Mus musculus: one gene and its partners. The protein of the gene in region 1 purifies or fractionates together with the protein of each later gene. This does not show direct contact. Links are inferred from orthologs where the notes say so. Each region holds a gene or a part of one and is shown in the gene's direction. Other genes may lie near its edges. The genes, in order: Capza2, Svil, Twf1, Cracd, Cnot1, Washc5 and 2900026A02Rik.

The links.
Region 2: the proteins of Capza2 (region 1) and Svil purify together in Homo sapiens (affinity purification with mass spectrometry; 3 studies listed by BioGRID and IntAct, counting the BioPlex papers as one, with this or other methods). This does not show direct contact. The link is inferred for Mus musculus from reciprocal best matches to the Homo sapiens genes CAPZA2 and SVIL.
Region 3: the proteins of Capza2 (region 1) and Twf1 purify together in Homo sapiens (affinity purification with mass spectrometry; 3 studies listed by BioGRID and IntAct, with this or other methods). This does not show direct contact. The link is inferred for Mus musculus from reciprocal best matches to the Homo sapiens genes CAPZA2 and TWF1.
Region 4: the proteins of Capza2 (region 1) and Cracd purify together in Homo sapiens (affinity purification with mass spectrometry; 3 studies listed by BioGRID and IntAct, counting the BioPlex papers as one, with this or other methods). This does not show direct contact. The link is inferred for Mus musculus from reciprocal best matches to the Homo sapiens genes CAPZA2 and CRACD.
Region 5: the proteins of Capza2 (region 1) and Cnot1 purify together in Homo sapiens (affinity purification with mass spectrometry; 3 studies listed by BioGRID and IntAct, counting the BioPlex papers as one, with this or other methods). This does not show direct contact. The link is inferred for Mus musculus from reciprocal best matches to the Homo sapiens genes CAPZA2 and CNOT1.
Region 6: the proteins of Capza2 (region 1) and Washc5 purify together in Homo sapiens (affinity purification with mass spectrometry; 3 studies listed by BioGRID and IntAct, counting the BioPlex papers as one, with this or other methods). This does not show direct contact. The link is inferred for Mus musculus from reciprocal best matches to the Homo sapiens genes CAPZA2 and WASHC5.
Region 7: the proteins of Capza2 (region 1) and 2900026A02Rik purify together in Homo sapiens (affinity purification with mass spectrometry; 3 studies listed by BioGRID and IntAct, counting the BioPlex papers as one, with this or other methods). This does not show direct contact. The link is inferred for Mus musculus from reciprocal best matches to the Homo sapiens genes CAPZA2 and KIAA1671.

What each region holds. Positions count from the first base shown.
Region 1 is NC_000072.6:17,635,779-17,639,809, forward strand, and holds the start of Capza2 (F-actin-capping protein subunit alpha-2), read left to right. Parts: upstream 1-1,231; 5' UTR 1,232-1,343; coding exon 1,344-1,382; intron 1,383-4,031. UniProt on the Homo sapiens protein: F-actin-capping proteins bind in a Ca(2+)-independent manner to the fast growing ends of actin filaments (barbed end) thereby blocking the exchange of subunits at these ends.
Region 2 is NC_000084.6:5,116,089-5,119,588, forward strand, and holds the end of Svil (supervillin), read left to right. Parts: coding exon 1-33; intron 34-884; coding exon 885-1,009; intron 1,010-2,011; coding exon 2,012-2,167; intron 2,168-2,257; coding exon 2,258-2,344; 3' UTR 2,345-3,205; downstream 3,206-3,500.
Region 3 is NC_000081.6:94,587,025-94,591,178, reverse strand, and holds the start of Twf1 (twinfilin-1), read left to right. Parts: upstream 1-1,354; 5' UTR 1,355-1,402; coding exon 1,403-1,427; intron 1,428-2,873; coding exon 2,874-2,951; intron 2,952-4,154. UniProt on the Homo sapiens protein: Actin-binding protein involved in motile and morphological processes. Inhibits actin polymerization, likely by sequestering G-actin. By capping the barbed ends of filaments, it also regulates motility.
Region 4 is NC_000071.6:76,839,296-76,843,398, forward strand, and holds the start of Cracd (capping protein inhibiting regulator of actin dynamics), read left to right. Parts: upstream 1-1,303; 5' UTR 1,304-1,378; exon of another isoform or gene 1,379-1,386; coding exon of another isoform or gene 1,387-1,388; intron 1,389-1,492; coding exon of another isoform or gene 1,493-1,508; coding exon 1,509-1,628; intron 1,629-3,881; coding exon of another isoform or gene 3,882-3,903; intron 3,904-4,103. UniProt on the Homo sapiens protein: Involved in epithelial cell integrity by acting on the maintenance of the actin cytoskeleton. Positively regulates the actin polymerization, by inhibiting the interaction of actin-capping proteins with actin.
Region 5 is NC_000074.6:95,720,446-95,723,945, reverse strand, and holds part of Cnot1 (CCR4-NOT transcription complex subunit 1), read left to right. Parts: intron 1-480; coding exon 481-661; intron 662-2,307; coding exon 2,308-2,440; exon of another isoform or gene 2,441-2,507; coding exon of another isoform or gene 2,508-2,666; intron 2,667-3,168; coding exon 3,169-3,303; intron 3,304-3,460; coding exon 3,461-3,500. Other genes in the region: N-lysine methyltransferase SETD6, read right to left, coding at 2,508-2,666.
Region 6 is NC_000081.6:59,346,688-59,350,187, reverse strand, and holds part of Washc5 (WASH complex subunit 5), read left to right. Parts: coding exon 1-56; intron 57-784; coding exon 785-895; intron 896-1,662; coding exon 1,663-1,803; intron 1,804-3,287; coding exon 3,288-3,368; intron 3,369-3,500. UniProt on the Homo sapiens protein: Acts as a component of the WASH core complex that functions as a nucleation-promoting factor (NPF) at the surface of endosomes, where it recruits and activates the Arp2/3 complex to induce actin polymerization, playing a key role in the fission of tubules that serve as transport intermediates during endosome sorting.
Region 7 is NC_000071.6:113,218,477-113,222,758, reverse strand, and holds the start of 2900026A02Rik (uncharacterized protein KIAA1671), read left to right. Parts: upstream 1-1,482; 5' UTR 1,483-1,548; intron 1,549-1,636; exon of another isoform or gene 1,637-2,351; intron 2,352-2,821; exon of another isoform or gene 2,822-3,354; intron 3,355-4,282.

The sequences.
Region 1 (4,031 bases):
TAATGATAGTGTTCTTGGACCCAGATAGCTATTTGAGCTCTTTAGGGTCCTCTTACCTGTCATTTACACACAGCTGTCAGATTGACACCGCTGAGCATGTTCGGTTCATGTCGTGACACTGTCCAAATGCCCTCAAGAGCTTCTCACTTTCTAATTATTGAAGTCTTAACTACTAACTAAACTCTTAGTCCTTGGTAAAAACAAAGTGTGGTTTTCAGACGAGTAGCACTCCTCCTTCCTGGGAGCTTGTAAGAAATATAGATTCTCTGGTTTGCTCAGGCCTGCTGAACTAGCAACTCAATTTTATCAACATTTCCAGCTGCTTCCTGTGTCAGCTTTGACTTCAACCTTCCACCCCCCCCCCTTTTCTTTAACTTGAAGCTTCAGTAGTAGAGTTGCCAGATTTAGCAAATAAAAGTAGGAGACATCCAGTAAAATTTGAAAATAATAAATAATGGTTTTAGAATGCTTTAAATCCTTCATGGGACATTTACCTTAAAAATTGGTTGTATGAAATTGAAATTTCTACTGGATGACCTGTAAGTAGTTTGGACAGCCAGTTCATGAGGGTACAGATCCAAGGCTAACTTAACTTTTTTTTCTTTTTTTTTTACTTTCCAGGAGTACAATGCCTTCCCTAACTCAATGTCTAATTAATAGAGGTGAGCTTAAGAGCATTTTCTTTGGGATTTTTGTTTGTTTGGGTTTTTAAATCTACATTTCTTATTCCTAAGAACTAGCAAAATAGTCTTCCTATCATAAAAGACCAATAAATGTTTTTCGGATGAATAAATGAATATATCAAAAGTAATCTTTCAATTATGGACTGGATTGTGTGTGCCTATTTCAATTAAAACAGTATTTTTCCTAATACTTAAAAATGTTTTAAATTGGTACAGCTTTTCACATTTTAGCTGGCAGCGTTCAGGACTTGGTGGGAACAAAGTCATGGGCTCAGAATGTACTCATCGCCAACCGGGTCCATATGGTCATCGTTGACTAGAGAAGGCACCAGACAGAGCAGGATGACAGAAGATAACCATAGCAATCCCACTTTGGAGGCGCTGCGCACGCGCACAGCGGCGCTCAGGCCGGCGCTCAGGGGGAGGGAGGCGGAGCTCCGGGGGCGCGTGCGCGGCGGCCTAGGCTGAGGAGGCGGAGCTCCCAGGCGTGTGCGCAGTGGCTCGGCTCCCGGGAGGCGGAGCTCCGGGGCGCGTGCGCGGCGGCCTGGGCGGCGGGGCCCCTCCCTTGGCGGGGGCGCGCGGCGCGGAAGACCGCTCGGAAAGGGGGAAGTCAGGTGGCCGCTGCTGCCACCAGCGCCACGGTCTGTCGCCAGAAGGAAGATGGCGGATCTGGAGGAGCAGTTGTCCGATGAGGAGAAGGTAGGTGCCGCGGCGGTGAGGAGCCGGGCGGGCGGGAGGGCGGGAGAGGTGAGTGCCGAGGCGCGAGGGCCGGAGTCTGACCCCGGGCGGGCTCCGGTGGTGGGCCGCACGCCTGCGCTTCCCGAGCGGGGTGCTGCCCGGGCTCCCCGAGGCCGGGCCCCTCCGCTCCTTGTAGGGTGTGTGCTCCGAAAATAGGAAGCGGAGCCCGGCGGCCGCGGGCGGGAGCGGGGGCGGCGGGACCCGGCCCTGGGGGTCCGGGCTCGGGAGCGGCCGACGGCGGAGCGGCGCCGCCTGGCCTGGGGCTTTCGCCGTGAGGCGGGCGGGCGGGGAAGACGGCATAGCCGACCCTCACTTTTTCCTGCAGTTTCTCCTCCCCAACGCGAAGTGCTTCCTGGTTCCCCAGGGTGTTTCCTTCCCTCCGGAGGTCGCCGTCTCCACATCCCGCCCCTTCCCCCCCACCCCCCGCCATCTATTTCTTTTATTAATATTGTCATTACCTTTTTTTTTTTTTTAATTGCTGCTCCCATGTTCCCCGGAAGGCAGTATTGTTCACAAAGACACCCCTCCCTCCCATAGTTATTTTCTGCCCAACTTGGCTGCTTCCCCCTCTTGGGGCAGATTTGGTGACATCCCATCTTCCTGATAGGACCAACTCTGAAGAGGGCGAGCGGGTGCAACTCCTTTTACTGTGTGTTAAATGCTGTGACAGCATTAGGACCAAATGCACGACTCAAGTTCTCACATTTGTGATACGAAATCTGATCATTGAACTAAGGCTCTTGCCCATTTTCTTTGGCGACTGAGGAGACCGCGTACCAAGGGGCAAGTAGTGTGAGGGGGAACGCCATACGTTTTGAGTATTTTCTGGAAAAGACCGGGACGTTTTTTTCAAACTTAGACTTAACTGACATATGAGTGTGCTGCCCTTTGGAAATGTCTGATCTTAGCTTGTTTTTAAGTTCCAAATGAAGTACACCCATGTGGGAAACAGAACTCAGTTCTAGTAGGGTGTTAGAGAAACACTAAGGATATTTTCAGTTGGGACCCTCTCCTTTTATACTGCACCAGAATTAGTGTTCTCTTTCTCTTTGGTTGTTCAGAACTCAGCCTCTTTTATGGTTTTGGAAGTGTTCTGGCTTTCTCGTTTGTGCCCTTGGATGAAATGGTGATAACTTAACAAAATGGGGACAAGCATACCTTACTTTAATTCACAGAATTAGACCCTAAGTCGCTAAAAGTTGCTGTACAGTGTTTACATTTGTAGCATTGAATAGTTTAAAGCTATTTATTGAAAATATACCAGCGCATTACAAGAAAAATAGCGTTTCAGATTCAAAGTTCTTGAAGCGATTTTTTTCATGTTTTGTGTACTTTCATATAATTATTAGGAGGAGCTCAATTGGCTTGGAAGATAGTGAGAAGAGAATTGTTAGGGTGGGAATTAATGTAGATTTGCCATGTTGTTGGAAAGGCCCGGAAATTTCAAAATAAAATGAGAAGATTCCTTGACACCCAGTGTGCTGAGTTTTACAGAGTAGTGTATGAGTTCACCTGCTGGCATAACGTTGGAAACAAATTAATGAGAATTTTAAGCTTAGATTTAGCATCTTTTTGTGACATAGGTAGGAATATTCTGTAGTAACTTCACATACAGATTTTTATAACAGTATTTTCTAATTTAAGAGATCAGTGGTTAAACTTTCTAGTGAAATTTAAATAACCAGTAAATGGAAAACAATATTTTGTCACTTTTATTTCCCAGTAGACTTGTACTGTTTTAGGAAGGTGTTCCATATAGATCAGAAATGGATTTAATTGTGATATTTTAGGACCAGTTCTTAAATCATGCTTCTCTATTTTATTTCCTTGCTTGTGATTTTTCAGGAGTAAGTTTTAAATACTTTTTACATTTCAGTTTTGCAGGTCTAAAGAAGGGGAGGTACTACAATGTATAATAGTGTAGTTTATATGTATTTATCATGTAAGAAAAATGTTCTATTTTCTTTTTTAACTTAAGTTTGAGGTAGATAGTTTTATTATCCTTTACCTGTAAGTAAATTAAGGTTTTAAAGGCCTTATATAGGAGGGAAATGGCAGAGGTGAAATTTAAACCTAAGTTTATCAGAATTCAAGGTTTGCTTGTATACTTAATGCCATTATGTTCCCTTGAAGTTGATTATAGGACTATCCTGGGGTTATATATTGGTTTTCAATTTGCTTATTTTTAAAAAGAAAGCAATGGTTCTTTATAGTATCAGGTTCTAAGTTTGTTTTTTATACTTAGTGAAAAGGCTAACTGGTAACCTTGTGTTTTCACCATTTTTAACTAGTTTATTTTTATGTAATGTGAACATTGTGTGCTACTGCTATATAGTTTCTTACTGCCCCTGTGGAATGAGGCATTTTAGAAATTAATCATAGCTGGGTGTGGCAGAGCAGATTTGTAATCTAAGTACTGAGGAAACTGGGACTGGAGGATCTCTAGTTCTGAGGCCACCTTACAGAAAGTAACAACAAAAAGAGATTAGCTGGGTGTTGGTGCATACCTGTAATCCCCAGTACCCTGGAGGCTGGTCAGGAGGAACGTGTTTCAGCTTAGCTTGGTCTTCTGAGTTCTTTTGAGACAGGGAGACCCTGTCTCAAAAACAA
Region 2 (3,500 bases), on another chromosome or scaffold:
GTGCCATGGAGACGGTCCTGCAGTACTGCCGAGGTAAGGGCAGGAGAAAGGGGTGGGAAGTCCCCACAGGCCTAACCATGTCCTTCCTGAGATGCCTGCAACCTTGAGAAGGCTCCAGCACTCCCCCTTAAACTGCTGGAGGCTTGTCAATCTTAGGATCAATACATTCTCTGCTACTAGAACAAAGGAGAGTCCATATTTCCCTTTCAAATGACAGGGCCACCCACAGGTGTACTGTGGAACCACCTGCACTGCCACCACTCTGGCTAAGTGACCTCCATGGCACCATTCTCTCTTCAGGCAATGCCGGCATCGTGCCCAAACTGGCTAAAAGCCAACGCCAGTCTTTCTTTTGGTATCATATCCAATGATAACAACAACCGAAACAGTTTCCTACCTAGCATAGAATCTGACCTTTTACAGAACATGGATGCCCATAACTAATGCTTTGTCTACATGCTGATAGTTTACTGGCTCTCTTAATGCCCCGGTGTGTGTGTAGTTGACTCTTGCCATGGAAAGCTCTTTGTGAACAGCCTTCCAAATCCCACCAAATGCTCACGGCACCTGGAAGATGCTGCCATCGCCTGTCACCTGCTCTCGAAACTTGTCCTCCAGGCAAATGAAAGGGAAGCAGACATACCTGGTGGGAGTTTCCAGACAGCCTTCTGTCCCCCCAAAATGTTCAGAAACGTTTTGCCAGGTTCAGGAGGTGGGGGGTAGTAACCTTTCAGATAAACAGCACCTGTGTGTTGCTTTAAGTATTTTGTGATCCGAGTTCTAAACATGGAAGTCAAGAGTTCTGAAGGAAAATGGGAAGAGCCTGAGAAAAAGCAGGACAGACTCTTTGGGTCCACTGACATGTGCATTCTGTGTTCCCACAGGAAAGAATCTCAAAAGGCCACCCCCCAAGTCTTACCTTATTCATGCTGGGCTAGAGCCCCTGACATTCACCAACATGTTTCCCAGCTGGGAACACAGAGAAGACATTGCTGAAATCACAGAAATGGTGAGCTTGGGGCTCCAAGGACTACAGGCATTGCAGCTGCCTTATTCAGTCTAAGCCCAAGACAGAGGTTGCCCTGGTATCTCTGCATTTATTGTTGCTCATCGGCATGGCAGGAGATGGGGGAACAGTGCATGATGGTGAGCAAGCTCATCATTAAGGCTCACTGGCAAGGCACAGCACATCTGGTTTCTCAGTTAATTACCAGGACAGTACATCAGTGTTCATCTTACTATTGTCTCCATTGTACCAGTGTAGGAGCTGAGGCATACAACACTTGCCTCGAATCTCTGAGCCACCAAGTGAGGTACGATTCACAGGAACAGACCCGAATGGGCTCGGCACCACACCTGCTTCTCCCTGACATTCATCCCCATAGCTTGAACTTGAGCTCATTCACACGCCATCCAACTGCCCAAAGGGAAGCAGCACTTCCCAGACCCAAGTATAAGGGATAAAGATGGTTTTCCCAGAGCATCTCTCCCCCTACTGTGTGCGTGTCTGTCTGTCTGTCTGTCTGTGATTGTGTGTGTGTGCATAATCCAGGGCCTTATGCATTCTAGGCACAGACTCCCCTACGCAGCTTCACCCTCACCCTTACCTTGTTTGTGGATTAAGAAATGGGTCCTAGGGGAAGGGGAGAGGGCATGATTTCTTCTGAACGTAATTACTTTAAAATATGTTCAAACAAATTCCACTATGTGTAAGCATCTAGTGATTTGATTTCAGGTCCAATAATCTTTTTCTGTTGTCCATTCATGGGTAATCTGAGTCCCTAAACATTCATTCATTTACTTCTGGAAGTAGTTCAGAAACAGGCTTAATTTAGTACAGGAGAAAAGCTATGAAGGGTAGGAGGTGATTCCAGGACATCCAGAGCCCCCACTCCACAATGGAGTGACGCCTTACTCAGCCCTCCCCAGGCCGTAGGCAGGGCAGAGCTGGGAGTCTGTGTGCTCCAGCGATAGCACTTGTCTGCTCAAATGTACTCTGCTCCGTCTCCAGGATACTGAAGTTTCCAACCAGATCACCTTGGTGGAAGATGTATTAGCCAAGCTCTGTAAAACCATCTATCCACTGGCAGATCTGCTTGCCAGGCCACTCCCAGAGGGGGTCGACCCTCTAAAGCTTGAGATTTATCTCACAGATGAAGACTTTGAGGTGAGTGACCCTTGTGTGGGATGCTGACAACACACTGGGAGAGCATCTTTTTACTCAGTCACTCACTGGGAGTTTCTCCATCTCTTCTAGTTTGCACTCGACATGTCCAGAGATGAATTCAATGCACTGCCCACCTGGAAGCAAGTGAACCTGAAGAAGTCAAAGGGCCTATTCTGAGGGTGAGATGACAGGGCCACAGAGAAGTCGCTGCCGCTAGACCCGAAAATGAATGGAGATACATATTTGGACTAGTAGTTTTTTCTGTCAAAGAAGAAAGTATTTTTGAATCAGAGTTTTTCAAAACCTACAGCTTGTTCTAGAGTTGAGCATTCTGTAAATGTATAAGAGAACTCTTCTGATTGTTCTTTTCCACAGTTCAGGTGAACTGAAAAGAAAAGTGTCTTTTCCGTTCCCCTCAGCCAAGTGCTGCCTCAGTGGCCGCTGCAGCCCTACCCTTCTGGTCTGGCTCAGCACTGCCTTTTTTAAAGCAATTCTCTTTATAAAGTGTTATTTTGATAGTTTGTGAATTCTAAATATATATATATATATTTATATAAACACATATAAATCAAGTATGTATTTAACAAAGCAATATGTATTCATTCACTTGCAACTGTTTTCTTTGGTGTCAAAACAATATTAGAGGACTGTGTTGCTTCTGTTGAGTTAAGCCTACCACCAGTCTGTCCCGTGCTCAGGAGTGCCTCCTTCAGCCTTAGGTCTGGCTTGTGCTAAGTTCTGCTTCCGGTGCTAAAGCAAACAAAGACTTTGTATTCTTAGTGTGAACTCTGAAGAATCTATTTGAATCAACCTTTCTACCTTAATATCTCCCCCCAGAAATGTATAGTGCCTTGTTTATGTACAGTTTATATACAGAAAAGTTTGCTCTGCTTTTTTGATGCTGGTTTGGAATATTATCTACAGCTTTATTCTCAGTAGAAATAAAAACATCTCAATTTCTCATACCCATTGTAAACATTACACATGTCATTTTGTGGCACAGGATCCCAAAATAAAATATCAAAGTAATCCCAATTCATTGATCAGTTCACATTGAATTCCAAGCCTGTTCATGGGGTGGGGCACTATTCCTGTAAGGGGGGGGGGGGGGGACGGACACTATGTAGCTGTCCAACAAACACTAGTGTGCTGCATTGGTGCCAACTCCTGAGACTCTGAACTTCAACGCAGGGCAGGACATAAGATTAAATAGACCTGGCAGACACTTGACCCATAAATTTGCTCTAAACACTGAACATGTTCTTAACACCACAGCTGCATCGATACTCACTTTAAGATCTCAGTGCCTTTTCTCCAAGTGTGAATTGATGTG
Region 3 (4,154 bases), on another chromosome or scaffold:
TTAGAAAACATACATAAAAATAAACAATAGAATAAACTTTCACAGGGGAATGCATGCCGATAAAAGTGTACAGTGAGAAAGAACGGTAACTCCTGTCTGCTGTTTCCATACAAATGTATTGCATCCAGGTAACTACGAACACACATTTGACTTGAAGCAATCAAAGGCTAACCTAAAGCAAAGCTCTGTTAATGGTTTCCAAGGGTAGAGCTGACCACAGAGAGATATTCAGGTCAGCTCAATGGCTCAGTGGTTTCACACTCAGTTCTTTGGGGGAACCAGAGAAAGGACAATGAGGTCTCTTAAAGTGCTATGAGCTGAAATTTCCAGAAAAAAAAAAAAGCCACCCCAAACCTGTTCAAGACTCAAAAAGGTTGCCTAGCTGATTAGAAGTGCCTGATTGTGTAGGACTGTGGTGTAGGTCCTAAGCTGAATTATCTTGGGCCATCCCAGTTACTAGCCACTTCTGAGTCCATCCTTGGAAATGTACAGACCACTTAGCTTCTCCCATTGAAAGGTTAAAGATGCCCTCTTCAGATAATATCTGAACCAGTAGCAGAAATTTCGCCACTTTGGGTATAGCCCCATGTCCCCACCAAATATATTTTAAAGATGATTTGTGATTTTCTTTTGTTCTGGTACTAAAAAAAAAATTCATAAGTCTGTTACCAAGTTGAAACATGATATTTGGGATGGGGTGTCACCTGAATTAGTGCCTCCTCCCCGCCTGATAGGGCACATATTTGATTTCAGAATAGACTTTTTTTTCTCTTTTTTGAGGTGAGAACAGTGGTTTTGTGTGATAGTGACCAATTGAAAAGTGAACAGCTTGAGATTCAAATCACGGGGAAAATAATGGAGAACTCTACAGTCTCTTATTTTAAAGTGGGCCAGGAGTGGTCTTGAGCCCCATCTTGCTTTGCAAATGTTTAACTGTTTTATCTTTCGCCTTAAAATGGTCTTTTCTTTACAGCAAAGGATATGTCTTTCATGTAGAAAGCGTTTGTTTCGGAAAATGGCCATTTTTCCCTCTAAAGCATTTTGATGAGGTGTGTCGCTGCGGCGTGTGATAGACACACAGCCCACTGCCAGAAGGTGCATCCTGGACAGAAACAGCAGCGGGGGGGGGGGGGGGGGGGGCAAGGGGGGGTGATTGCCGGGAAAGGGCATGGCCAATGGCTTAAGGGGCGGGGCTTGTGACGACAATGAAAGTAGCCAGTGAAAGAACAGGGGGCGGGATCCTAGGCGGGGTCTATGTCGCGCTGGAGAGCGGGGCTGGTGCTGGGGGCGGGGCTGAGAGTCGCGGGCCGATGACGCACAGGCGGAGCCGCTACTTCCTGGATCCGCCGGCCGGGGCCGCTACCGCACCCTGCGCCGGAGCCGGGAGCCTGGGGCCGCCGCCATGTCCCACCAGACAGGCATCCAAGGTAACGGCGCCACGGGGCAGGGGCTCCCGGGAGGCTGCGGGCCGGAACGCTGGAGGCGCGCACGGCATTGGAGCTGCTCTGGGTGCGACGGCCCCGACTGTGTCCCTCGCGGCCCTCCCCGGCGGCCGCCACGTAACAGGCCGGTGGTGGCTGCCAGAGAACCGAGGATGTGAGGATGTCCCGGGCGACCCCGCTGCATCCCGGCCCCCGTGCCGAGAGCAGGAAGACCGAAGCTGGCTGGGCTCCTGCCGCCGGCCAGCCGAGCGACTTTTTCCTCGGGACCCGCCAAAGGAGATTGCTCCAGCACTCAGATCGTTTGAAAACCAAACAGCTCCCACCGCTGTAGGCTGCCTCCCGAACTCCCCGGATTTTTCTCTCAGAACGCGGGTGTGCCTTCCTTCCGGAGAAATCCCGAGTAGGGAGTGTTTTTCCATCTTTGGATGCTTGCACCCCAGGCAGCTGCAAAGTCTGATCTGTGTAGCTGCACCTCATGAACCCCGTGGAGACAGTCGAATGTGCAGTTTACTTGTGTATCTTACTCGCCGTTTATTATTTCCTGGTTGGAAAATAGGCAACTTGGACGTACTCAACCTCCTACGGAATCAAATAATATATCCCGGGGTTATTTAACGAGTTCTAATATAAACTAGAGCACTTCCCGTAATAGTTAACCGAGCCTTTCCCCCGGGTGACCACTTAATAACTTGTTTTGTGTTTTAAGGGTTTTTGACACTACCACTTAATTCTGTGCACATGCAGGCAAAAATAGTCTCCGATCTAACAACACTTAATCTCCCCCGTGTTACTTATGACATTTAAATATATCAAAATTATTGTTTAATGTTTGAGCCTTTTATATAACAAGACATAAATATTAGTCTTGCTTGGCAATCAACAACACAAGACCGAATTTGAAGCAATGATGACTACACAAGGGATAGGTTATTAAATGTTTATTTCCTGGGTGGCTTCTATAACTTTTTACAAAGAGATGCAAGAAAAATGTAAGATCTAGTGTATTTTACAGGTTTTTTCTTTAATCAGTATATGAGATTTGATCCTGTTGTTCTTGATGGACAGATACAGGACATGATTTGATGAAGGAGCACACATCACAAACTTAAAATTGGACTATTAGAAGCAACTTGTTAACATTTTCAAACATGGAGCAATTTGTCTGTTACTGGGTTTGACTGAAAGCATTCACCCTAGTGTTACTTCTGCTACTGAGTTCTGTGGCTAAAATGTTGAAGTTCCTGTACTTCTAAATGCTAGTATTTAGTTTTTGCTCCTCGCCAAGGCCGGTATTTTATGCTTCTGTTTTATAGTAACAATAAGAAGGGCCTGTATGCTCCACATGTTTCTTTAATTTATGTTTTCTTTAGGTGAATACAAACTAAACTACTTCTAGGTTTAAACACTTTTTCCCTTTATCATTTTCCACAGCAAGCGAAGATGTCAAAGAGATCTTTGCCCGAGCCAGAAACGGGAAATACAGACTTCTGAAAATATCTATCGAAAATGGTTAGTTAACAGTTTTAAGATACTCTGTGCCCCTGGAGGGTTAGCTGTTACAGTTTCAGGTTTCCAAGCCTTATGAGTAATTTGAACTATTAATCAGCATGAAGCAAGTTCAGAGCTTGCCTTTCAGCCTGTTTTCCTTTTAAACTGGGGGCGGCCATTGCGGAGACAGCAGGTGCTTTCTGGTGTGGAGGCTTCACCTGTTGTGTGTTTTTCTGCAGCACAATCTATGTCTAATGTCAGTGCTTCTAGAATGAAAATCAGTAGCTGGGCATTTATTGAAAACAAAACTAATTATTTTGTGAGTTGTTCAATGAGCTGTGTTTTGAAGTAGAAACATTTGAGATACTTGTTTGTTTATTGCTTGATTGGATCATACAGAGATCCTTTCTTGTTTGCAAACGTTCTGAGAAAATGGCAAATTATAAATTGACTCCTTAATGTTAATTTTATGAACAGGGAAACTGGCTGAGTGGCTATATCTGATAGGAGATGGATTTGAAGAAACTGTTAATAACTCGATGTTGAAATGAATGTGCTGAAAATATTCTGTTGGCCTCAAATACCCTAAGACATTTTGTTTTGGAAAAATAACTTGTTTTTTTTCATAAACTGGAAATAAACTAAGTTTGTTTTCCATTTTCTGCTTATATATTTAACTGTGAAACTAGTTTAGGAAATCTTAAAGTCTGTAGGAACAAATGTATATACTTCAAAGCAGCTAAAATTGTGACGGTCAGTAAGCAAAATGGAAAGATAAAATGTATCTAATTCATACTTTAGGAAGAAAATTTCTATTTCTTAAATATTTTCCAATTGTTTTTTTAATCTTGAGAAAATTGTTAAACTAGTAAGTTTCAGAGAATGGAAACATAAATACCCACCTCTTAACTTAATGACCTAGTACTTTATAGTTTGTTCCAGACCTTGTTAACTGTTACTGTCTCTCTAATGAAGGACAGCTTTGACAGCTGTACTTTTCTTTTCGTGGAGCATCTACAGTTGGAAAGATAGATAGAGACACACACACACACATATATAAAATCCATCATCTTTAGCACATAATGCTGTTTTTAAGTTCATATAAAGTGCATATTGTTATATTCTTGATCTTTATTTCTGGGATTTCTGGTGGATTTGTGTTGCTAGCATATGATGACTTTAAAACACAAACAGTATTTTTATGTGACTGTACCACGGCGTGTT
Region 4 (4,103 bases), on another chromosome or scaffold:
CTTTAGTGTGCTTCCTTCCTGCAATTCGGCAAATTAAATGCCATAGTTGAATCAGTCTTCCCAGCTCCATCTAGACCTGGGTAGAGGAACAGTCCCCCTGCGGTGCAATGTGGAAAGTGCCTCCAATGCTCTCCTGCCCTTGGTCTCTGAGACAAACTCCCTTTAAGGTTCCTCTCTAAGGAGGCAGGAGGAGAAGGTGGTGCTCTCTAAGCCTTTGTCACCTGGCACCATTGCAATGGGCTGCCTTGCCATAGGAAGGATAAGCCGCTCTGTCTGCCGGAGTAAGGACCAGTTGTGTCCTGGGGCTTCCTGAGATCCCTACTGTGTGTCTCTCTCATCAGGTAGACAGATGACCACACACCTTTGAGGTGCATCCCTATAGCTGCAAAGTGTCTGTTTTTCTCTTCTTTTCTATACTAGAGATTAAGCCTAGGGCATCGTGTATCCTGAGCTCTCTGCTAACTGTTACACTGTCTTCCACTAAGTGTAACATTGTTCCTGCCTGTGACAAAATACCCGAGTTCCTAGAGGGCTGGGTACATAAAGTTTGTTGGATTCAGTTTGGGAAGCTTGACAATCCAAATAGCATGGTGCCAGCCCTGCTCAAGGTCCCCTGGTTACGGTGGGTCACTGGATGGTATCACAGCAGCGTGGAAAGAAGCCAGAAGTGGATGCTTCTTACAGTGTGCCTCCCCTGTGGGGAGGGGAAGCCATCGTGTGGGGAGGGCTAGACTTCCTCCTCTTACTCATCCTGGAGAACTGTGGCTTCTTGGGACTTGCATTGACTCCTCCCGAGGACACCGTTCACAATGACCCCACCTCTTAAAGGTTTTAGTACACCCTAATGCTAGTAGAATGGGGACCCAGCTTCCAACACTTGGAGCCTTGATATCAAACCATGGCTAAAGCATAGCAGTTTTTGAAGAACTATGCAAAGCCTGTCCAATGGCTTGCCTGTGGGTTTCTTCCCGCCCCCGCCCCCCACGCCCCGGGTGTATTCTTCAAGCATTGATAGTCCCTTCTTCCAAAGGCTTTGCTCTGTATATCTGCACTGCAGTCTGACTGAAAGTCAAAGACACCTGTTTAGATCTGTGCCACTTCATAAGTACTAGTTGGCAAGATCACTTCGTAAGTACTAGTTAGCAAGATTTTCTGGAACAAGCCTGATAGTCACAGCTCAGCTGGGCAGGTCCTCCAGTTAGAAGCTCAGCACCATTGGTTCTACAGATAAATACCTTGCTCCAAGTTCTCCCTGTGAATGGTTCCGAGAAAGAGTGTTAGGACCACATTCTCCCGTTCCCATAGGAACCTTTCGTCTACCCTGCTCCTTGCCAACCCTCTGCAGGAAGGCTGTGGCGTAGAAGGACTTTCTAAATAAGCTAAGAGATGTGGGCCTTTGAGGCGGGGGTGGAGGGAGGGGGGACCCAGAAAACTGAATCTGGAGAAGTCATTTATCATCCTAATAAAATGAAGCACGTGATTTGCATTCCAGGTCCTTCAACTATTCTATGGGAGCACGGGCGTTCTCCCATGACAGTATTTTTATCCCTGATGGGGGAGCAGAAAGTGAGCAGACAGTTCAAGCAATGTCACAGGACAACATCCTGGGCAAAGTCAAAACTCTTCAGGTAAGGCAGCTTGAGACTGGAGGATCAGAGCCAGAGGAGCCCAGCCCACCCCCATCCTCTGGGGAGGGAAGTGGAAGAGTCCCTGGCTGGTCCTTGAGTGATGGAGTGGGAGGGTCAAGGGTCACTTCAGGAGAGAAAGCTTTGATTTCTTAGACTTCACTCAGTTCCCCGTTAAAGAGGCATGCTTAGCACTGCTATACTGCCACCCCACCCCTGGCTTGTCCTCTCTCCTCTCCTCCAATTGTTGCTTCCTGTTTGACTGGACATGAGAACAAGTCCCTAAGAGAAGCTACGAGGCTTGTGTGTGAGGAAAGCGTTCCTAACCATTAAGTTAGCTGAGCAGCTGCTATCCTTGCTCACTTCCATCGTGTGAGTCTCCAGCATGAGGTGGGGAGAGGCGAGCCTCTGGTGTGTCTGTAAATGCAGCCCCCCCGGCCACCTTGTCTAGAAGGGACCATACAACCCCTTTCTCCCTGCAATGTGGGCGGTGTCCTCAACTAACATTGACTTAGCTGGTGACTCCCTAACAGTGAAAACGTGGTAAAGCAGTGCTATACCAAACGTGGTTAAAAAAACATTTCCCTCACCAGAAATCAATGCCAGGGCAAGCAACTTCTCTGAGGTGTGGGTGCCTAGAGATGACCTAAACCAGTGGTTCTCAACCCCTTTTGGGGGTTGAAGGACCTTTTCACAGGATTGCATATCAGATATTTACATTGCAATTCATAACAGTAGCAAAATTGCAGTTTTGAAGTAGCAACAAAAATAATTTTTTTTTTTATTTTTGGCTGGGCAACACCATAACCAGAGAGAGGAACTGTATTATGGGAATCACCGCATTAGGAAGGCTGAGAACCCTGCTGGAGACTTTGAACAGAGGGGCTCTGAGTTACCCTGTCTCAGCTGACTGTGTCTACAATAGTGAATGTCTGAGAAGGGAAAAAAAAAAAGCAAAATAAAGAAACAATGAGAACTGAGTGATACAAAGGAGCATCCCACGCAACAGTAACTTCCATCCTCTCCACCTGTACTTGTTTCTGCTGGGCACAAGCTGTGTATTTTATGACCTGCCATCATACACTCAGTGCAAGGTGATGTATGCAAAACCAGGAAGGAGCCAACACCCTGGAGCCACACCCAAGCTTGCCTAGATCTTTATGCCTGCAGTCACCACTGACAGAGACCAGGTCTCTGCTGGCACAGCCAGCCCAGTCTGGCTTGTAGTGCCAACACTTAGAGCCCGGATTCCTTCTTTTTGTTCCTGCTGGCTGTGGTCTTGGACTTTGAGACTGGAAGAAGCAAGCTGTCACTTTTCACACAGGTTGAAGAGAGAGGACAGTAGTAGTCAGGGAAGCATTACCCCATTTCCCTCTTGCAGGCTTTTGATTACCGCTAGGTTCGGAGCCCCTGGCCTCTCACGCCCCTTTACTAAAGAGAATGTTGTGCAGAATTCAGCCCATGAAATACTGTATTTTTATAGGGCGTCAAGAAATTCTTTGAAGGGTGGATACTGGCCTGTTGCCTTCAGTGATACCTGCTCTGTAACATTTACCACATACCACTGCCACTTTAAAAAGTGGGTTTTAAGTGTTGTACAGTGCATGTAATGGCGCAGTATTGAAAAAAATAGAAACCCAATAAAATATATGAGTGACTGACTTCTTTTAACATGACCTATGGTTTTTTGGTTTTGGGGGTTTTTTTGGTTGGTTTTTTTTTTTTTTTTTTTTTTTTTTTTTTTTTGGTTTTGGTTTGGTTTGGTTTAGTTTGGTTTTTTGATACAGGGTTTTTCTGTGTAGCCCTGGCTGTCCTGGAACTCACTCTGTAGACCAGGCTGGTCTTGAACTCAGAAATCCCCTGCCTCTGCCTTCCAAGTGCCTGGATTAAAGGCATGCGCCACCCCTACCTGGGCGACCCTATGGTTTTAAGTAATCTGACCTCATTAATTGATAAAATGTAAAGCCATCAACTTTCCTGAAGTGACAATTTGATTAACACAAGAAGGAGGGGTGGGTGAACAGATCAAAATGACTAGTGTGCAGCCCCAGTCACATGAGGTCTGCCTAATTTTTCTTTTGTCCCAGGACTCAGGAGCCTCCTTTGATCTCTGTGGTGGTGACTTTGGAAATATTAAGGGCATTGCTCTTCAAGGTGGGGGAGTGGGGACCATGGTCAGAGCAAATGGGATTTTTTTTTTAAGTGACCTAAAGCCTTAACTGAATCACTCCCCAAAGACTATGCTTTCTTTTTCAGTCGACTAAGCAGTATGTTCCTGGTAAGTCCCCCAAACGTAGTGCCCTCATACACTTGCATGAGTGCTTCGCATTTCCCATGACAGCGGTGTGCGGATGGTGATGCTCTGCGATAAGCATACTCGTAGACTCCAGCATGGAATGAGAGTTTAGCTGTGTCAGAGGCATGTGTGTTTTATGTCTGGAATTGTCATTGTGTATGTCTTTGATGGTTTTTTTGTTT
Region 5 (3,500 bases), on another chromosome or scaffold:
TGATTATAGTTAAATTTCCTTTATGGAGTGACTTGAAGTGGAATTGGCTCTGCAGAGTTAGCATAGAATGCAACAACTTCTTTCTCTAAATTATATATGGTTGAGGTTGTGCTTGAAATTTATTTTATAGCTGTATCATGAGCAAAAGTATTTGGTTTTCCAAAGGAACACGTCTTCTAGTAGAATCACTCTGAGGGCAGCTGCACATTTGTACAGCTCACAATCTTGAACAAGTTTCTTATATGTAAATATCAACAGCTACCTATCCCTTTCAGAGAAAGGAGGCTTGAGAAACAGCAGTGCTGCCCAGCACAGTGGTGCTCACCTTTCTTCAACCCCAGCATGGGGAGCACAGGCCTAGCCATCTCTGCGTTTGAATCTAGCCAGAGCTGCACTGTGAGATCCCGTCTCTGGAAAAAATAATGAAATATTAAGTGTTATTCATAGTTCTATGGTAACGTTTTCTCTTTGCCCATTTAGGTATCTAATGAGCCCGGGAATCGCTACAACCTCCAGCTTATCAATGCATTGGTGCTCTACGTAGGGACTCAGGCTATCGCACACATCCACAACAAGGGCAGCACGCCCTCAATGAGCACCATCACCCACTCAGCACACATGGACATCTTCCAGAACCTGGCTGTGGACCTAGACACTGAGGGTGAGTGCAGCAGCTGGCCATTGGCATCATCAGAGACTCTGTACTTTGCCACAGATATAATCGAAAGAATCTAGAAATTTCCTTTAAGCTACAATAAGGAATGCTTAAGAAAATGGCCCCAAATCTTATCCTGTGAGTAAAGATGGTATGCCAGAGTGCAATAAGTGGGAAATAAGTATGTTCTTTTTGATAGCCTACATCTGAAGGTCGGACTACATTGCTTCATACATAAGTTTGTCTTTACCAACAATTACTAGGGTCTGCTTGACAGGGAACAGAACACATTAGTGAGTGTAAGAAGATAATGGGCCAGAGCTTGCTGTTCCTCTGTAGGAAATGTACAGGGCACGTCGCTGTGGTGTCTCCTGCGCTGTTTGTTTCAGTGGTCAAGATTCAGAATCCCCAGCTTAGTGCTAAAGAAGCTCTGCTCGTTGTTTTGTTTGCTTGTTTTTCTCTTAGAAATTCATGACCTCATTTTTATTGTTACTCCATGCATATATGTGCATGTATATACACACATTTTGGGGGTGGGGGGCTAACCTTTTCTGTTTTATCAGCCACATGTGTAGTTTTGTCTGCAGGAGGTGGGGGTGGTTTTGAAGATTGAGCAGCTCATGCTTCAGTCCAGATCCACTACTTATGTTCACAGTTTTTATGCTCCTGCCAGAAGTCTTAGCGTTTGCTTTGAACTTGGTCTTCAGGGCATCCCTCGCTGCTTTGGCACTGATCTAGGACTACCAGATGTAGCTGAATCCAGTCTGTTGCTAGTATGCCACCATGATGTTAGGAGTGGGGCATGTCAGGAGGAACTGCTAGATCACTTGAGACTACTAATATATTTTACAGTATAAGCTGCTCAGGCTGTATAATTGTTACCTGTGCATATGTTTCAGGGCTGGCCATTTGGTATTGGATAGCCAGTTGCTGTTCTCATCTTTGAGAAGACAAGACTGTTTTTTTCTACTCTGAGCATTTCTTGGTTGCCTGTAGTTTTTTGTGTAGAATTGAGGCCTCATGTTACGTCCTTTAGACAAGTGTTTAAGAGTCTTTGTGATCAATGGTACAAACAAGATAATCAAATACAGATAAGAGATCTATTGCCACCTGAGCATGGTGGGAGATTCTGGATTTGAAACTTTCTCTCCAATTATTCTACCAAAGTACTTTTCAGAGTATAAGGATCATTAGGGGCAAGAGTCTTATAAGGGCTTTGAGGTTAGGACTGTTTTTGTCAGAGGAAGACATTGCCTTCATTATGTTTATTTCATGTGTACAATTTTTCAAGTACTACATGAAATAAAATGTTTTAAGTAGTTGGATGTTGAGACAATGCAGATTAGCTTTCCATTGTTGTGTAGGATCAAGATTTTCAGTAAAAATTTTTTTAAAGAATGTAAGGTATTTTGCTGATTCATAATATGGATTGCAAATAACGCCTACAGAAGCAAAAAAAAAGTTCATATCCAGAAAACCAATAGTAAATCGCAAAATTAGAATAATACTCAGTTTGCCCAAGGCCCACCATGCTAGATTATGTCTGACTGATGGTATCAGTCCCCCTAAGAAACCAAAGCCTAAGGAAACTCATTTGTCTCTCATACTGGCCTTTCAGAGCAAATCCTAAATCTAGTTTCCCTAATTTCTAGGCCGATATCTCTTCTTAAATGCAATTGCGAACCAGCTACGGTACCCAAACAGCCACACTCACTACTTCAGCTGCACAATGTTGTACCTTTTTGCTGAGGCGAACACTGAGGCAATCCAGGAACAGATCACAAGGTGAGAGATGTACTGTCATGATGCCTTAAAGGGGCTCTTTTCTCCTGTATTCTGACTGTCCTGAAATTCACTCCGTAGACCAGGCTGGTTCAAACTTGGGGATCCAACTGTTTCTGCCTCCTGAGTGCTGGGATGGATGGTGTGCACCACCACTGACTGCTTCCGCTGTATTCTGAATGAGTTCTGTGCATTCCCAGTTTCGCTGTGTTATTATGCTGAGCCATGTCTAAGGAATTACAAAACAAGTTGATAATGGACAGTGGTTTGCTTTGAAATGCTGGGTACTAGTTTACAATAAAAGCAACATTAGTTTCTTGGTGGTAGCTGTGGCAGTAATGTTTTTTATCCAGAATCTTGTTGACATTTTTGTGTACTTCATGTTTTTAAGGTTTTAAAGGGAAACAGTAGGGTCATACTGTTTGTTTAAACTGTATAGGATTGGATATTAGTGCACAATATAGTGGGGTGTACATACAGACTTGTACTTTACCTCTTCGCCCAACTAAATACTTGTGCCAGTTTCAGCAGCAAAGGCCTTAATCTTTGCCACCAGGAAACAAAAAAGTTTAAGAACAAAGATTTGGTACTAGCCAGCACTTGTCATGTAGGAAAAATTTCACCTATTTTCATATGCTAAATTCTGAGTGCATTCAGGGAAAGGGGCAATGAAGGCATAGTTGTGAATTTGTTTTTAATGTATTAACTAACTCTTCTATACCCCTTTTTAGGGTTCTCTTGGAACGGTTGATTGTAAATAGGCCACATCCTTGGGGTCTTCTTATCACCTTCATTGAGCTGATTAAAAACCCAGCATTTAAGTTCTGGAACCATGAATTTGTACACTGTGCCCCAGAGATTGAAAAGTGAGTTAAAATGTTAATTACCAAGCAGGGAGACAGAAAAGAATGTGTCTAATTTGGGTCTGTGAGTTAAAAGGGCAGTTATAGCTAATTCAGATTAAGAGATCTTTAGGCTTAAAGTTTGTTGTGAAGTTAATTGGTGCTTGTCTCCACTTCTTAGGTTATTTCAGTCTGTTGCACAGTGCTGCATGGGACAGAAG
Region 6 (3,500 bases), on another chromosome or scaffold:
AAAGCATAAGGGTAAACCCATCCATGGTTACCAAACTCAGAGCCACGTTCCTAAAGGTAAGCAGGGAACGCCGACATCCATCCTCTGGCAGAAGAAAGGATCGGCTTTGCTCTGCTCTCATTGGTCGGGGTACGAGGCTGTCTATCCACTTTGCACTAACATTTACCAACCGTTTCATCAGAGGCAGCATCAAGTGTTCTGCCAGGGTTTAGTTCTCTGTGTAAAAATGAATCTCCATCTCATTAGTATGCACTAATTCGCTTTCATCTTTAATAAATGGTGAAAGAATTATGAATGTTTTAAAGTAAATCTATGGTTTGTTTTAAGTACATGGTTGATCTTATGCCTGGGTTACAGACCTATGTACTGGAGCCACAGAACAGCTTCTTTGGTGAAAAGGAGTCTGGCGTGCAAAGGGCTTCCATGGAATAGCAGCTCTCCAGCTTTGGGGCATCAGAGTTCCTTAGCGCAGCAGCTCCTCCACCCCGCTCCCACATTGCTGAGTCAGTCAGGGGTAGGTCTGGAAACTGACATGTCTCACATGTTCCCAGCTGCTGCCAGCGGCCAGTGGGAGACACACTGCCACAGTAGATGACTGTGGATTGTTTGTTTTGTTTTGTTTTTCTAATGTATTGTCAGAACCTATTTGACGCATTGTTGAGGCTTTCTAATTGGTCCCTCTATTGGGCGAAGCACAAATGTTGCCTTGTAAATTCCAGTTTGGGAAAAGAGGTTTCTAGGGCATTTATGAAGCAAGAAACAGATATGTGTTGTTTCCTTCCAGCTTGCCTCTGCCCTTGACCTTCCCCTGCTACGTATTAATCAAGCAAATAGCCCTGATCTCCTCAGTGTGTCTCAGTATTATTCAGGAGAATTGGTGTCATACGTGAGAAAGGTAAGGACTGCCTCTGATAGCTGCTTCCTTAAATAAACAGTGCCCTGGCGGAGCTTTGTGTTCTTCGGGTTTCTTCCCAGAAATGTCCAGATATAAGTGTATCTTACTGAAGCTGCAGACGTGCAAATGTGCTTTACTTTGTAAGGAGATCACACTGGTTTCCACATGCTCTGGCCTCAGAGTTGCAGAAGCTGAGGAGCAGAGGTGACGTAGCCTCTTCAGGGGCAGAGCTGGCTGCTCAGAGGCAGATCACAGCTCACATTCTCTTACTAGAACCTAGTTCAGGTCTTCAGGAGAATCTTGGTCCTTGCTCCAATCATTTGTGATGGATCCAGGACCCAGCCATGTCTGAGTTAGAGTCAGTCTGTGTCATGCACTGGCTGAGACCCTTCCTATACGTTACTGACATCTTGGGCAGTGGTAGGACGGCATGAGCTTGTCTCTCTAGCAGTTGTTTTGAGACAGCTTACTATGTAGCTCTGGCTGTCCTGGAACTTGCTGTGTGGACCAGGATGGCCTTGAACTCACAAGAGATTTTCCTGCCTCTGCCTCCCTGGCGCTGAGATTAAAGGTGTGTACACATGTCTTACACCCTTCTAACAGTTTTCAAACTAGTTCTTTTAAGTTTCTCAGCACTTCTCCTTACACAAACTGCCATCCTATACACTGGGACCTTCTTGCTCTCATCTTCCTTGTTCATCAGCTAAAAAAAAAAAAAAAACCATATAGATTCTCAACTGTATTTCTTCCTGGTCTTTTCATCAAAGGTTTTGCAGATCATTCCAGAAAGCATGTTCACATCTCTCCTGAAGATCATAAAGCTTCAGACCCATGACATCATGGAAGTGCCTACACGCCTGGACAAGGACAAGCTGCGGGACTACGCTCAGCTTGGCCCGAGATATGAGGTGCCATACCCTTGACTTCTGTCTTTGGATATTTGAAGCTCCAATACGAAGCATCCCCGGCCAGTGGCTCCTGGCATATCCCGGGATCCCAGCAGACCACCTGTGGTTGTGTTCTTGCCCTCTCAGCGATAACGTGGTTTGCAGTCTTTAGTGCTCTTGATGTTTCCCGAGTGTCCCTGAGAGCTTCCCCACCTGAGTTCTCTGTAGAGATGGAGCTCTTTTCTCTTGAACATTCTGTCATTGTCCTTGTTCCTCCTGTGTCCCACGACCTGACTTTCCACATCCTCCTTTGTACGTGCGGTACTCAAGCTACAGTTACAGCTCAGTGAGCCTACCTATCATAAGTTACACCTCAGTGAGCCTACCTATCGTAAGTTACACCTCAGTGAGCCTACCTATCGTAAGTTACACCTCAGTGAGCCTACCTATTGTAAGTTACACCTCAGTGAGCCTATCTATCGTAAGTTACACCTCAGTGAGCCTACCTATCGTAAGTTACACCTCAGTGAACCTACCTATCGTAAGTTACACCTCAGTGAGCCTACCTATCGTAAGTTACACCTCAGTGAGCCTACCTATCGTAAGGTGCACCTCAGTGAGCCTATCAATCGTAAGTTACACCTCAGTGAGCCTATCTATCGTAAGTTGCACCTCAGTGAGCCTACCTATCGTAAGTTACACCTCAGTGAGCCTATCTATCGTAAGTTACACCTCAGTGAGCCTACCTATCGTAAGTTACACTTCAGTGAGCCTACCTATCGTAAGTTACACCTCAGTGAGCCTACCTATCGTAAGTTACACCTCAGTGAGCCTACCTATCGTAAGGTGCACCTCAGTGAGCCTATCAATCGTAAGTTACACCTCAGTGAGCCTACCTATCGTAAGTTACACCTCAGTGAGCCTACCTATCGTAAGTTACACCTCAGTGAGCCTATCAATCGTAAGTTACACCTCAGTGAGCCTACCTATCGTAAGTTACACCTCAGTGAGCCTACCTATCGTAAGTTGCACCTATTGTTAAGTGGAAAATGCTCTGATTACACTCAGGAAGCTGGGCAGTGGCAGCTTATCCTGAGGCCAGCTCTGAAGTTTAGAGAGAAGTGCTATGTTAAAGGACAAAGAACTAGCCGGGCGTGGTGGCACACACCTTTAATCCCAGCACTTGGGAGGCAGAGGCAGGTGGATTTCTGAGTTTGAGGCCAGCCTGGTCTACAGAGTGAGTTCCAGGACAGCCAGGGCTATAAAGAGAAACCCTGTCTCGAGAAAAAGAAAAAAAAAAAAAAGGACGAAGAACTGCTCACAGTGACTGTCCCCCATATAGCCTCACGTCCATCCCAGGCATGGACACACCAGTGTCCTTTACACAACCACACACTGCTGCCTTTGCCCAGTGCATTACTTTGACCAGTCGTTTGGCCATGCATAGGGGTGAGGACTCTCCCCCGTGATGTATTTCATCTCCCCTCCCTCTCTCGCTGTTAAAGGTTGCCAAGCTCACTCACGCCATCTCCATCTTTACTGAGGGCATCTTGATGATGAAAACGACCCTGGTGGGCATCATCAAGGTAAGGGTTGAGCGCTGCTGTGTGTGGCCTGTGGCAATTTGTTTGATTTTCTGGTAATTACATGTGGAACGGGTAGGAATGCGGCCATCTCTTGCTGCTCAAAACTTTTATTTTTACCCATTTGTTGATGGA
Region 7 (4,282 bases), on another chromosome or scaffold:
ACACAGAGAAACCTTGTCTCAAACAAAACAAAACAAAAGAAAGGAATAAACCATGTCCCATTTCTCAGGGGAGCATGAGTCATAAATATGATTCAATTTACACATGCGATGTTTCTCCCTAATGCTGGTGAAGTCCCGTGAGAACCTGGATCCATCAGCTCCCTCAGAGCGGAGTCCCCAGAGCCCAGCATAGAAAAGGTACTTAGCAAAGATGCATAGGCTGGCAGGGTAGCGTTCCAGAGATGTTCCAGCTACTGGGGTAAAGGAAGGGACTTGAGGAGAGAATGGGTTGAGTTCAGGAGCTCAAACCTGAGCAACAACATAGGGAGCCTCTGGGGAGAGGAAGAGGACTGGAGCACGAGGAGCTCGTTAGTGGTGGAATGCATCACTTTTGTAAGCCTAGAATTTATTTATTTTGTTTCTTTTTTTTAATTAGGAGCTCGTTAGTGGTGGAATGCATCACTTTTGTAAGCCTAGAATTTATTTATTTTGTTTCTTTTTTTTAATTAGGTATTTTCTTATTTTACATTTCAAATGCTATCCCAAAAGTCCCCCATACCCTCCCTGTCCCACTCCCCTACCCACCCACTCCCACTTCTTGGCCCTGGTGTTCCCCTGTACTGAGGCAGATAAAGTTTGCAAGTCCAAGGGGCCTCTCTTCCCAATGATGGCTGACTAGGCCATCTTCTGCTACATATGCAGCTAAAGACACGAGCTCTGGGGGTACTGGTTAGTTCATATTGTTGATCCTCCTATAGGGTTACAGACCCCTTTAGCTCCTTGGGTACTTTCTCTAGCTACTCCATTGTGTTTCATCCAATAGCTGATTGTGAGCATCCACTTCTGTGTTAGCCTCACAAGAGACAGCTATATCAGGGTCCTTTCAGCAAAATCTTGCTGGTGTATGCAATGGTGTATTTTATTTCTTATTGGTTATTTTATTTATTTACATTTCCAAAGTTATCCCCCTTCCCAGTTTCTCCTCCGTAAATCCCCTATCTCATCCATCCTTCCTGCTAGCGTTAATTTCCAACATGGTGTCCAACTTCCTCCAACTCCAGTTTCTGGGAATTTGTTGCCCTCTTCTGGCCTCTGTCAGCACCTGCACTTACGTGCACATATACACATATATCTAACAATAAAAGAAATAGTTTTGTTTTTAAGAGAAAGGAATATAAAAAGAAAGAAAAAAACCAAAACCATAGTGGTCGATATGATTAATGAAAACGAACAAGACAGCTGGTCAGGAATGCGCAGTAGCAGGGCCCTTGGTGGGCAATGCTCTGTCACCCCACCTCGGGGCACACAGTAGGTGCCTTGGCCGGCACCGTGGCGCAATGCCGCTTCCACCCGGCAGGGGGCGCGCCCCACATAGTCTCGCGGCTCCGGGCTCCCGCGCTCCGCCCCTCGCCGCTCTGCGCAGGCGCCACCGGGTGCGGTTGCCACGGCGACGGGGCGCTTCCCGCCCGAGCCCCGCCCCCCAGCGGCGAGGCTGCGCGCGCCGCGGCAGGTGCGGGCGGGCAGGTGCGGCGCCGGCGGGCCACTGCGGTAGGTGCGCGGAGGGCGCGGGGGCGCGCGGGCGGGCCGCGGGGGCGCGCGGAGACGCACGGGGACGCCCACTCCTGCCCGCGGGGCCGCGTGTAAAGTTGGCAAAGTTAGCGGAGGGAGGGCGAAACGGAGAGCGGGAGGAGCCGCGTGCGGAGTCCGGCTGCGGACTTGCTGGGGGAGGGGGGTGGATCCCGTTGAATCTGCGGCCGGGGAATGTCGGCGAAGGATGCCTAGGGCTGGCCCCCCGCTCCCTCCACGCGCGTCCGCGGCTCGCGCGTGTCTCGGGATCGCGCTGTGCAGGCCAGGGCTGACCCTTCCTCTGGCGGGGAAGCCGTGGCCTTTTGCTTTCGGAGGGACGGCGCCTGTTGCAGAGAGCTGTCCCCTCGAGGGCCTGCGGCTGGCGCTGGAGCCTGCGCCCTGTCCCCGGGGTCGCGCCCTCCGGGGTGGCGCGCGCACTGCCCTGGTCCGCGGTGACAAAGATGTGTAACTTGGACTTTCTTCCACTGGGGCGAGTTGCGGCTCCAGGCCACGCACAGAGAAGCGCTGGGACTGGTTAATCAGTAATCGGGACTCTAGGTGGAGGCTTCAAGCGGCCAACTTTCTCTTTGCCACCCCGCAGGGCAGGCGTGCGGCCAGGGCTGGGCTCTGCAGACACCGGTGCCTTGGTGGGTTCAGGGGAGACTTGAGGGCTTGGCAGGGGCGCACTTAGGCCCGAGAAGTGCAGAGTCTGGACGCGTGGTCCAGCCTTGCCTGCAGCTGTGTGCAGGGGTACATCGGAGTCAGCTTGGACCAGCCCAGAGCAGGTCAGAATCTGTTCTTCAGGGATGACTTTCTAGCCGTCTAGCCTGCTCCACGTCTTTGTTGATTTGTGATGTTGGGGAGCACCCTCACCCCAGACTCTGAGCTATACAGCCCCGCCCCCCCCCCCACAGAGTCACCAGAGGGCAAGGGAGTTCAGAGGTCAGTTGTGCATCCCTGGCATCTGACCCCTGCTAGCATCACCAGGAATCACCTAACCAACACACGGGATGAGCTGCCTCCAAACGAGTATGTCCGTTCATCAGTCATTCATTCATTAACAAATGGTTCTGTGTCAAGCACTAGGCTGAAAGTCAAGCCCGGAGGAGTGAACCCTGGGTCAATCTGGACGGAGAATGGGACAGCAGAGGAGGGGGCGTGGCTTGGGGCAAGAGGAGGATCATGGTCTGGGGCAGAGAAGGGTGTCAGGAATTGAACCCAAGTCCTCAGGCTTGTTGGCAAGCCCCTTTATCCACTGAGTCATATCACCATCCCGTGGTACTTCTTTGAGACTCAGGTTCTTTAACTGTAAAATGGTCCTCTCCTCCATCACGGGGGAGGAGCGTTCGTAAGGTGGGTCATGGAGGGCATCTGATTGAGCTCAGGGCGTGAGCCCAGAAGAGTTATTGTCATGATAGCCTGTGTCATCAGAATGGTTCCAGCAAGCAGGTACCTTGCCCAACCTAGTGTGTGTGTGTGTGTGTGTGTGGTCAAAGGTGACACTTGGGCTGAGCCTTGAGGGCTGGGTAGGAGGTAGGGCAGAGGCAAGACCTCACTCCTGGTCCTGCCCAGAGTGCAGGGCGTGTTGAGCAAATAAAAGACCTTTACACTCCTGTCCTGCATCGGAAGGCTTGGGACTGAGGGGACCAGATCCCTGCCTGGAGGCACACACTCCTGCCCCTGCCTGCTTCAGATTCCGGGAGTGTGGGTTAAGCCCTGCCACTCCTCTTGGGGGAACTTGATGGATGTTTGGAGACAGTGAGGCAAAATTGCTGAGAAGCAACAAAGGTAAACCAAGGGGGGCTTCCCGGAGGAGGCAGGGGGAGAGGTCAGCCAGGCCCCATGGAAGAGGGTGTAGGGAAGGCCAGAGCTACTGATGTACTGTGTTATGTCAGACCCTCCAGGCTGAGTCCTTCTGTCTGTCCCCTCTTTGTTCTTCCTGACAGTCTTCTCAGGCAGTGTTGGTTGTGGAGACTCCTCCACTGCCACCCATGAGCAGATCATGAAATGGGAGCTTGGGGGAGAGAGAGGAGGAACTGAGTTCTGTCCTTAGAACTGGCTGTCCATAGCCATGCACCTCCCAACTCTGAGTGTCCCCATGTGGCTAGGTGTGGCCGCCCACTGCCCTCACCCTGACTGCTGGCCCGGGAAGGGGAATCGCTGTCTGAGTGGAGGGCTCAACACAAGACGGATATCTCATGGAATCTCTTACTTGGGAGCGTCCCTGGGCCTGAGAACTCGGGGCTCTCCTGTCCCCAGAAATCCTCTAGTCAGCTGTGTGGGAGCGACTATCAGGAAGCAATTAAGGACTTGACTTTGGGGCCTGAGTTAGCGCTGCCCTTCTTGGTAATCGGGCGGTTAGGTGACCTTTGAAATGTTTACAGCCCTGTCTCCGTCGAGGATAGGGATATGTTTTCAAAGTATGATCGCTGACTGCTTACACCTGAGTCAGCTGTGCGCGTTGTTAAAATACTCCAGGAAATGAAAGTGTCTGACCCCAGATGACCAGCTGGACGGACAGTTCTGAGAGCCCCACTTCCCATCCCCTTTTGGTCCTCCCAAGGCTTCCCGTGCACAGAATCTAACTCCTCCTGAGCCCCCAATCACATCTGCCTACCTTGACGCCTGCTTTCAGATCTGCTCTGCCCAACATTAAGTCCTGGCTTTATCTGCTGTGTGACTGCCATCGGGTGTGTTAACCACTCTGAACCCGTTT